Caenorhabditis elegans: one gene and its partner. The protein of the gene in region 2 purifies or fractionates together with the protein of the main gene of each other region. This does not show direct contact. Each region holds a gene or a part of one and is shown on either strand. Other genes may lie near its edges.

What was found.
Region 1: the proteins of col-53 (region 2) and K02E10.7 fractionate together in Caenorhabditis elegans (co-fractionation; one large-scale study listed by BioGRID). This does not show direct contact.

Annotation. Positions count from the first base shown.
Region 1 is NC_003284.9:2,500,219-2,506,941, forward strand, and holds K02E10.7 (Protein kinase domain-containing protein), read right to left. Parts: upstream 4,940-6,723; coding exon 4,715-4,939; intron 4,148-4,714; coding exon 4,028-4,147; intron 3,983-4,027; coding exon 3,922-3,982; intron 3,729-3,921; coding exon 3,613-3,728; intron 3,560-3,612; coding exon 3,392-3,559; intron 3,073-3,391; coding exon 2,836-3,072; intron 2,780-2,835; coding exon 2,546-2,779; intron 2,494-2,545; coding exon 2,428-2,493; intron 2,377-2,427; coding exon 2,209-2,376; intron 2,164-2,208; coding exon 2,041-2,163; intron 1,994-2,040; coding exon 1,879-1,993; intron 1,340-1,878; coding exon 1,143-1,339; 3' UTR 769-1,142; downstream 1-768. Other genes in the region: rabr-1 (RAB family), read left to right, coding at 165-262, 334-432.
Region 2 is NC_003279.8:5,642,750-5,647,063, forward strand, and holds col-53 (Col_cuticle_N domain-containing protein), read left to right. Parts: upstream 1-1,979; 5' UTR 1,980-1,987; coding exon 1,988-2,137; intron 2,138-2,181; coding exon 2,182-2,266; intron 2,267-2,477; coding exon 2,478-2,552; intron 2,553-2,600; coding exon 2,601-2,816; intron 2,817-3,208; coding exon 3,209-3,427; intron 3,428-3,473; coding exon 3,474-3,565; 3' UTR 3,566-3,621; downstream 3,622-4,314. Other genes in the region: M01A12.4 (Protein-tyrosine phosphatase catalytic domain-containing protein), read left to right, coding at 561-795, 845-1,308; F55F8.2 (ATP-dependent RNA helicase), read right to left, coding at 3,723-3,827, 3,910-4,251, 4,295-4,314.

The DNA of each region.
Region 1 (6,723 bases), on a different chromosome or scaffold from region 2:
AATAATCAAACATTGTAGGGATTTGAACATGCCAAAGTCCTATAGTTTTCTCAGAAAGTGATTTTTTTTAAATTTTCTCACTGGCACTTTTCCGCCTCTAGAACGTGAGAACAAACACGGAAACTTGAAGATTTATTTTTTCCACACTGATTGTCGTTTTCCAGGGATAAACTGCGAAGAAGCATTTCACACTTTGACAGCTGCAATGAGAGAACGAATAACGGCTGGCAGTATGCATTCGGATGAGTCGGATGACAACGAGGTTAGTAAGACAGACAATATCCGGATGCAATTTATATGCTAATTATCTTTCAATAAATATGCCATTTTTAGGAGTTTTCATCGGCCTTCCACGTTGACGGAGTCATCAAAAGCGATAAAGGGAAGTTCACATCATGCTGTGCAAGTGCTCCGGAACCCGCCTTTGTCTGATTTAAACCTTGACTTAAACATATCATTCATTTAGTCATTCATCACAATCTCGATAAAACACTTCGATCATTTGATAATCTTTTTTTTTAAACGTGCTTTAATTATTTTTAAGTGTGCTTGTCAAAACCATTTCAAGGTGCTCTGCCGTTATGTGGTGCAATTAAAAAACCCCCTTAACATTTGTATGCTTCTTACTTGTTAGCACAATATTTTTTCCCTCATCATCTTTTTTTACATTGGTCATTTGCACTTTCATGACGTCATTGGAACGTCACTATGTTTTATCTTGAATTCTCCAATTTCGGGTATTAAGTTTAAATTTACTATTATGATTGATAAATTGTAATTTTCAAATATTTATTTTTATACAATTCACAGAGAGAAAAAAGAGAGATGGAATATATGGATATGAGGTTGCAGCATACGATACGAAAAAATATTACTTTTGGAATGTGTTGTACAACGCAGTAATAGCTACAATTAATCATGAGAAATTGGAAAAATGTGCATATATTGAGATGGGTAGAAATTTTTTTTAATTGAATAATAGAAATCGATTTTCTTTTGAACATTGAATTGAATTAATTACTCGAAAAGGTTGCACGCTTTCAACTTATTAACAGAGCAAAAAATGTCATTTACATACAAAGCGATACATAGAAACAAAATTAGAACTTATGAAAACAAAAATCTCGTCTAAACTTTTATTTTCAATTGTCCGAACCCAACCCAGAAGAACCAGATCCAGAAGTTGACTGTCGTCGAAAACGTTTCACAATTCTCCGGTATCCAGAGGTTAGAACTCTTATTGAACCTCTACGGAAGCGAGTCATTGCGGATGCACGTCCACCGTCATTTCTGTAGACAAGAGAGAAGAAACGGAGATTGAATTGATCCTCTGCGCCATCTGAAACGACATAGCAACATTAAATAAGAAAATTATTGAAACCCATTCTTATGATGCTAAAATGATCAAATACCATAACAAATTTTTTCTAAAAAATTTTGAACATTTTTCAAGAGGTAGTGAAACTCACTATGTTGGCCACTTTTCAATAAATCTAAAGCAATGTAACTGGTTTGAACCTATAATATATAATTAGAACATACAACCAATTTTCCAAAATATTTTGAAACGTTTCGTTGTATAGCTAAACAATGCTCTCGACATTTTTGGTTTAAAATTAGAAATCTTTGCTGCAGACGAATTGTGTTTGAAAACAATTAGAAACTTGAAATTACGGTAGTCGACAAAAAAATATTTTTCGGAATGTTGTTAAAGGTGGAGTAACTGATAAATGGTCATTTTAGCAATTTTAGCCATTTTTAGCAATTTGATTTTTAATAATTTTCCCCACTATTAATTCTGAAACTCTGTTTGAGCCATTAAACTTCAAACATTTTTTTTAAATCAGAATTTCTATTATTATCTAAATTCCAACTCACAATAAATCACTTCTTCACTCTCCACAGCTTCTGCAATCAGCTTATAAAGACACTTATCCTCGTCGTGATTCAAAGCATCAGTTCCAGCTCTTCGACATCGCATGCAAATTTTTATCTGAAAATCATACAGATTTTAAAACTACCCAAACAAAACACTCTCACCGCCAGATTTTCCCAGACACGTTCGGCTTCCTTTTTGCAATAGTAGAGCTGAACTTGCTGTTTGTTCGTGAACTTTGGCATGTTTCGAGCAACTTCAATCTCGGTGTTTTCTCTGCGGAAGTTCTGAAGAAAAAAAACCATAAGATGACAAAAATAATTATATCCTACCATAAGTGCGTAATCTCCAAAATCCGAATCAACTACAGTATCTTGATGTGATCGGAAGCGCTTGATCGTCTGACCCAAACGGCTTTTTATTATGCGATTGAAAATTGACGAAGAGGCAATTTCATCTTTTGCTGGAATGACGATTCTCAAGCACATGCTTCCGTCTCTCTGAAAATATCAGTTTCGTTCTCATCGTAATTCGTAAATAAAAAAACATACCAGTTTGCATTTCTCAATGCGAGTGATGTCATTGTCCCACTCCTTACGGACGTTTTCCATTGCAAACTGGAAAATATTTCTGTTTTTTTGAACACCATTTAAAAATTTGTGCACAAACCACTGCAAACTTTTTGTGATATTTTTTTGGCACAGGTTCAGTCAAGACTTGTTGCTCTCCAGAGACAGCTGGCTCTTCTGGATGATCTGATGCTACACTTTTGTAGCCCTCATCTAAGGTTTCGATGGAGATTTCTGAGCCGTCTCTCTGAACTGTGCTCTTTTCCAGGGACTCTGCCGGAATGAATCTATCAACTACTGGCAACTCTCTAATGAGATCTTCATGACATGAAATCTGGAATACTATTATAGTAGCTAATGCTGTTTTGAAATGGTTTTTTTTAATCTTACAAAATAGTTCCAAACTAGGTCAGAAGTCATCCAATCATCTTCAATTAAAGATTTAAGTGACATGCGTTCAGATGGGTTTACATGAATCAGCTGTTCCACTAGCGATTGAATTTTGTCACTGGCAAGAACGGGGGAACCTAGGATACCAGCTTGAATACTTTCCATCATAGTGTTGCGGCTTTCCAAAATGAACGGACAAGATCCAGTAGCCATAACAAAAATGCACACACCCAAACTCTGAATAAATGGGGATTTTGTTTAAGTACATTTATTACACTCCAAACATTTTTTAGATTTCTTAAGAATTTCCAGTCAAAGTTTTGGCAAGGTGCTGATTTTGAACTTTTAAGAAAATCCAGAATGTCTTTACACGAGCAATTTAAACTAATATAAAGTTGAATATTGTAGAACTTTTTTTTTGGTTGACTTCCAAAAATATAACTGGCAAAATCTAAGTAATTGTCACTTTTTGACAGTTGTTAAAAAACTTCCCAAGTTTTTTTAAAAGTGTAACTTTGATATTTGGTCCTTTTAGCACTATAAGAGTAGTTTTTACCCATAAATCGCATTCAGAAGTCACTTCTGATAACTGATTGTGCAATTCTGGAGCAATAAATGGAAGAATGTGCAGTGGTGTTTGGCTGAATGGGAGCCAGTTCAAAAATTGGGAGCTTTCAATATCCGAAATTTTGACCATATTTTCTTGCAAGAAAATATTCTTTGTCTGCAAAATCGTTGACCTATTGCGTATATCACTAATTTTTCCGAGTTTCTTACATGAAGCGTCCCATGGCAAAGATTTTGTGCATGCAAATATTCGAGAGCTCTTGTGGCTTGTACCAATACAAGCTTAGTCTGGGACTCGTCGTACTTGCCTTTGTCCAAAATGTCGTCTGAAAAGATTAACATTTAGAGAATGAAAAGATACAATAGTAGAAAGTAATCCTACTATTCGTTCGATCAATTTTTTCGAAGTACACACGTTTTTCTGCAACTAATCAATGTTACTCACTAACTCTATTTTTGAAAAGTACATTATAGTGGTGGAGTAGCGAAAATGTTGAAACTTTTTGATACATGCCTTACCGTGTAAAGTCCAAGAATGGAACTCCATTACTTTATACACTATATCTTGAAAATGAGAAACCTGAAAAAAAAAACAATAAGTACAAAAATTTCAAATATCAGTCACCGAGAAAGTCTGTACAATAGCCGGATGCTCGATAGAAATTATTTTCTGAAGAGTGGAGCCTTCATCGTGTGCAGTTAGCACGGCATCATGAAATGTTTCGTGATACTCTTTGATTGCAACCTTGAATTCAATTTTGAAATAACGACACTAAAACAGCTGAAAGCGGTCAAACGTTGTAACACCTGCTCAATTTTTTGACCTTGGATTGCACTTTTAATAGCGTGTGCAAAAAATGTTAAAAATAATTATAAACCAAAGCTCTATAGGTATTTTGAACTAAAAGGAACTGAAGAATACATATAATTGTATAGAAACACTAGTGAAAAATGTGTATTTTTTAGCTGTCCATCAGGGGTTTAGCAGCAGAATATGCAATATTTTAAGAAATTTTGATGATAAATTCCGTAATTTCCTTACATTGTTTTATTATAAAAGTTAAAAAAGGTATGTACTGATCACCCATTTGCCGGAAATTTTCATTTTTAGCAAATTGCCGAATTGTCGTTTGCCGGCTATTAATTTGCCGGAAATTTTTAGAGGAATTTGTTTTAATTTTTTTAATGTGCAAAACCACAATTTTCGGCAAATTCGGCAAATCGGCAATTTGGAAAATTGCTGATTTGCCGGAAATTTGCATTTCTACATTTTGCCGATTTGCCGTTTGCCGAAAATTTTTTTTGTACATACCTGTAACATTGAATCCGTAATAGTTCCTAAGAAGACTGTACCAAAACGACCTGATGCGATTTTGTCACTGATTCCCGTCCCATTCACGACGTTGGACAGGCACGTTAGTTCCACTGGTCTTTCAATAACACTTTCAGATGCATGGTCAATGGACATACAGCATTTTTGGAGTTCCATGGGTATGTCTAATTCTTGGTTTGAGAGGAACATACATTCCATCTTCATCTGAAAGTTTTAGTAAATATTACTTTAAGCTAGTTTACGCAAATATTGTTACGGAAATCAGAAATTATTTTCTCTCGTGCTCCAGTTTTAAACGAACTTGATTTTGAGTTTAAATAGCGAAATAGAGTGGTTTTGAACGATGAAAATAATGACTATTCAACGAATCTATCCTATTAGCACCAATTTGTCGTATTTCTAATATGTAAAACGATGGATTACAAATGCAAGCTTTTCAGCTTCAGTAGAAAAGATTACGAAAAGCTGTTGCAAAGTTGAACTTAGGGCATAGAAGTATCAAAACACAAATGTAAGTTTTTCAGTTTCAGTTCATGATTAATACTCTAATTTCGACAAAATGAGACGTTTTTGAATTCTGTGCTCAACATCGCTTCAAGAAACAGATTAGAAGCAGATTAGAAATTGTATCGTCTTACTGTAGCTGACGCAGAACTAGTAAAGTTACTTAAGACCTTGGATATAATATTGAGATAAAATGTGCACTTTTCGCTTCGCAAAATTCTAAAGTGCGGGGACATTGTTCAGGAAATATTTGAGAACACAACGAATATCTATAGTGACGGCGCGCTTCTTCACCATTTTCCACTTTAAAATCTCCGCCTACATTTTGTGTGAAGCACGGTGAAAAAGCACACATCAACATTCAATGCTCCAACCCGCGAAAAAACACAAGGAAGTTGAACGGAAATAAAAAAGAAAATGTAAAAAATGCAATCCAATATAAATTTTAAAAATTGGTCATAACTAGGGTTTACCTCATTTAACTTGAAACAAAAAAAAATAAAAAATAAAAAATTTTTTTGCAAAGTTTAATTTTATATCTGGTCATTTCAGCTCTTTAGGAATTCAGCCATACTTTTACTTTGCGCAGTTTTCACAAATTACTAGAAAAGTTAGTTTGACGACATAAACTTTTGAGTGTGCTACCCAGCAATTATTCCAGCTACAAGAAGAGAAATATTGATCGTATTCAAAATTTCTACTTACTGTGCTAAAGTAAAAATAGGAAAATAGGAATATTTTTTTAATACTTTTAAATATTCATTTAAAATGGTGGGGATATAATACACAAGTACCAAACAAATTTCAGCAAACCGCACTATTTTAAAGAATAAAGCAATGAAAACAAGAGAAAATAAAATTGAACTCAAAAGCATATGTGCGAATGACGATGGGATCAAGTCAGAAAGTGCATACTCGGCGGGGTTGATGAAGAAAGAAGGCTGTTTTATTGAAATGAGTAAAACATAGTTCTTTCACTTTTTTGTGTGTCTTGGCTAACGACGGCTGCTGGCCAAATAAGAGGGATGATGCGGATGCACTTTTAAGAGAGCACTAACATTTTTCTCTTCTTTCAAGAATGTAGCTTATCTTGCACTGATGTTTGGAATAGATTCTGACTCATGTGTCCTATAATTATTTTGATTCTGCTTTTTCAAGGTACATTTGAATACAAATTATATAGTTAGAGCAGAAACATTTTCAAGCACAAAATTTTAAAACGTGAGCGCAAGTGAGTAATCAAGTAATCTAACATTCGGGTCAATGACTGCTTCGATAAAAATGAAGATGATGAGAGACATTGAAAGTGCAACGGAAATTGTGACGGGTCAAGGGGGGAGTAGAAAAAAAGAAAGAATGACAGATGGGAGCATGTCTTTATGCGTTTCCAACTCACAAGAGGATTTTCGAACTCTCACTAAAAATTCAATGCCACAAGCACATTTCACATCGTTCTGAGAAGCAGGAGTAGCGGGAAGCATGAT
Region 2 (4,314 bases):
CAATACAAAGAAAAAAATTTATTTTTCAATTTTACATCGTATCAAGAATGGCTTCTGAAGCTGCTCCAACATCTGCTCTCACGTAACTTTTGAAACGCATTAAGAATGCAGGCAGGGCACGTAAGTAGGCAGAAAGGTAGGCAGACAAATAGGTAGATATGGGCAATATGAGTATGAGTATGGGCAGGCAACTTGTCTGACTGTCTACCTACATGCCTGAATAGTGCCCTGTCTGCTTTTGTACGTGACCATGCCTGCTTGCCTACATTTCTGCCTACCTACCCGTTTGCCTGCAGACGTGCCTACTTACCAAAAAAAATATCTAGGACATTTCTGAGTGGAACAAAACTTTGAATTCCTCTCTGAAAAATATGTAGATCCAGACCCATATCATAAATTTCCAGAAAAATCGTTTCACAAACGTGGCATGCTTCGACGAGATATTGGACCGTGACAATGAGGATTTCTATGTTCATGCGAATACTTTTCGTACTCCATATGGAAATTTTCTGATTAGTCAAGCACCAAATGACTCGACAAATGGTGATCATCTTCATTTGATGTGGATCTACAATGTCCAAACTGTTGTTTGCCTTGTTTCTCCAGAAGAGGCTGGAGGTTATTTTGTGCCAAAAGAAGGAGAAACTTTCACGAGCTTTCAAAAGTATCAGATGAAAACTATCGGAATTTTCGATGAAAAACAAGGCGTCACTGTTTATCAATGTGAATTGAAATCGTATAAAGCTCCGAAGAAACTCAATCGCCGAATGATTTATATAATTTGCTGCGACACATGTAATATTTATAATTATCCCAATTTTATAAAACATATCAAATTTTTCAGCTGTTGGATCCATTCGTTCTCCTCGTCAACAAACAGTTATCATGGAATACATGTGGGCTTTTGAAGAGGCAAATGCAATTGAAAATGGAGTAGCATTGGCAGATGCAAAAACAACTGTTTTGGTTCATGCAATTGCTGGAACTCGTCGATGTGCTTCATTTGTTGCTACATCAGTTATGTGCAAACAGTTACTTGAAGCTGGAAATTTTTCGGCAATGGAAACATGGTTTGAAATGAGAAAGAGAAGAGCTCATACATGTACTCGTAAACATGATTTCTTTTCGTCAATCTACACTTTTTTTGCATTTTGTGTTCAATGTAGTGCCGTCAGCGAGACTGATGAGAATTATGTCAAATCTATGGAGGTAAGTGATTTTTATGGAAACCATGTTAGTATATTATTCATTTTTCATATTGCGAAGACAATCCTCGAAAAAAAGAATCAAGAACAGAAAACTGCCTAGAAATTTGAACTTGCTTTTTTTAGCAACTTATACAACCGAATAAATTTTCTTTGGCAGATCTTTATAGTTTTATTGTCGCATTCCACTCATTCTCTGAAAGAAGCATTAAAGACAGTTATTGGTTTTGAACTCAATCTATAATATAATGTGCAAAAATCTATGTAAAATTGAAGATTAATTCCTCTGATTGGAAATTTAATTGGTATTGGTATTATTGGTCAAATGTTCACAAAACTAAGCAGAAATTGCTTGCCAAAATCTCAGTCAATGGAATTACGTAGGGAACCACACATGCAGTGAAGATCCATCGACTCAATTTTATTACGTTTCCGTCGGAAGCTATTCGAAAGTTGTTCGTAGTCTATGGTTTCTATTGTATATGGTGGTTCAATATTCGTCCAATTAAACCGTCTTCTCTCATTCAGGGTGCTTTCTCATAATTATCGAACCTCGTCAACCTATAAGACTAGTTTGTGTCAAGTGCAATTGTCAACTTGGATTGAAGAAAGATTCATTTCTCTTTTTTACACGTTGATTTTGAAGTATTTCAAAAATTTCTGACATTTCAAGTATCTGCCACTGACCATGAAAGTTAGCCTTTACATTTGTAGAATTACTGATTCAGTAAACATTTCAGCTGTATTTTTATATAGTTGTCTCGCAATTTGTAGGTATCAGAATGTCGTATATTTGGCGTCAATTAGGATCTCCTACGGTTGCAATCACATTATCAGTTAGTACAGTAATCTATGTTACTGTAATTTGTCCAATTGTTTTCATCCACTTGTTTGGGGACCATTTGAATGTCTTAGAGGATGATGAATGTCCGGTTTGTTTAGTTTAATGTTTAATTCAATATTTCAATATTTTCAGATTCAAATGAGTGACCTTCGGCAACGAGTGAGTTTTGTTAGAGAGCAAATTCACGAAAATACCAGGAAGAAAAGAGAATTGGCGTGTAAGTTTTGATAGTCCAGTTTTTTATTTGTAGTATTTTGAAATGGGCCTTGCAAGTATAATAGATAATTAAAATAGTTGAGCTTCGTTAAATAATTTGATCAAGAAAATATGTCAGGATTTGTATTGCACTTGTATGGGATTCATATTAAAATTTTTGGAAAATATTAATTCGTTTCCGAAATTAAAAAATATTTCCAAAATAATTTTAGCATGCTGCATTGGACCACCTGGAATGAAAGGATTTCCAGGAAAGAATTCAAGAGATGGATATGACGGAGAACCAGGTGAGATAAACAAGGGAAATATTATTAATTCTCATATCAAAAATTAAGGTCGAGATGGCCAACCTGGACGTCCAGCAGATGGTGATAGTCGAATGGTATGTATACGTGAATGCCCAACAGGACGACCTGGACGTGAAGGTGGAGATGGACCAAAAGGATCAAAAGGACAAAGAGGACGTACTGGTCAGCAAGGAGATTCAGCGCCACCGTCAATACGTGGTGAACCTGGAGAAAGAGGAGATAAGGGATTCCCTGGAGTTGCAGGTATGCTTCTTAAGTAGTAACCACTGACTTTTCTTCATTTTGTTGATTTCTTTAAAGATCTTGAGTAGTGCTAAATTGTTCTAAACTAAGGAACGTAATAGAATAGCTTTTCAAAAATTGTTTGAAACTTGCCAATTAACAGGTAACAAATACCAATTACTGAACTATCTTTTTTTTGAAGTCCCCCGAAGAATTCTACTAGTTTTATTTTAAAGTTTAATTATTTTTGAATAATTTTTACTCAAGTAGAAGGTTCGAATTTTTCAAAAGTTTCGGAAAATTTCGGAAGTTGTGGCGAGACCAACTTAGAAGGTTATCGTGTGCCTCACGGTTTCACATAATGACAATAGTAATAAGTTGTTATTAATAACACCAAACTAATAAATTTATAGGACCAGCCGGAGAACCAGGTGAACCAGGACATATCTATGTGTCTGATGGACCACCTGGAAAAGATGGAGAAACAGGGCCACGTGGGCCACCAGGTGAGAAAGGAAGAACTGGAAGAGACGGAGAAGATGGATTACCTGGTGAACGAGGTGAACGTGGATATCAAGGATTAAAAGGAGAAATTGGAAAAAGAGGACCTGTGGGAACTTTTGGGCCAATTGGTTAGTTACAGAGAAGTTACAATTTCGATAATGCTCAACTTTTCAGGTCCAAAAGGAGAACCATGGCCATGTGAATCATGTCCACCGCCCCGTGTTAGCCCTGGATACTATGTGAATAAACGGAATAAGAAACATTGATTCTTTCTGATGCCTTGACTTATATTTTCTTCTATATAAACATACTTATCTTGAAATCACAAACGACTTCATATTAAAATAAAAACAAATAAAATCATAACAGAACAGAAAACAAAATTAAATGTCAACAAAAACAATTTAGGGATATCGGACAATTTCAATCAGTTTCCGATAGTTTAGTCACTTTGGCAGCTTTCTCCTTTTTTTTCTTCTCGGCGAGGCGTTCCTTGTTCTTTTGAGACGATTTCAACGATTTTTTCATCTGAAAAAAGTTATAAATACTTTTTTAAAAATCTATATTTATCTGTCTCTAACAGAGGATATTAAGGAAATAAAGAGCCTACCGAGTTCATTTCATCTTCTCTTGTAGCTTTTCGGCTCTTTCTCTTCCATTCCTTTGTCTCATCAATTTTCTGGTTTAATACGTCAATTGCATTATCACCAACTGATCTCAAACGGGCAACAATTTCAGGAGTAATGTACTTTGTCTTCATCGAATCCGATCCATCAACACGTGGAAGTGGAAGGGAAAGCTCCGTGCGTAGTTGTGCTTGAAGTTGGCGACTTTTCTGGACCATTGTGTCAACTTCAAGATTCAATCCATCCATTTCTCGATGACGCGTCTCATCATAGTCTAAATCTGCGGCACGGGCAGCTTTTTCAAACCAAGACTCTGACATTTTGATCTGAAATTTCAATATAAAAAGCTATTAGAAAGTAGTTCGATACCTTTTTGCAACGGAATCCAA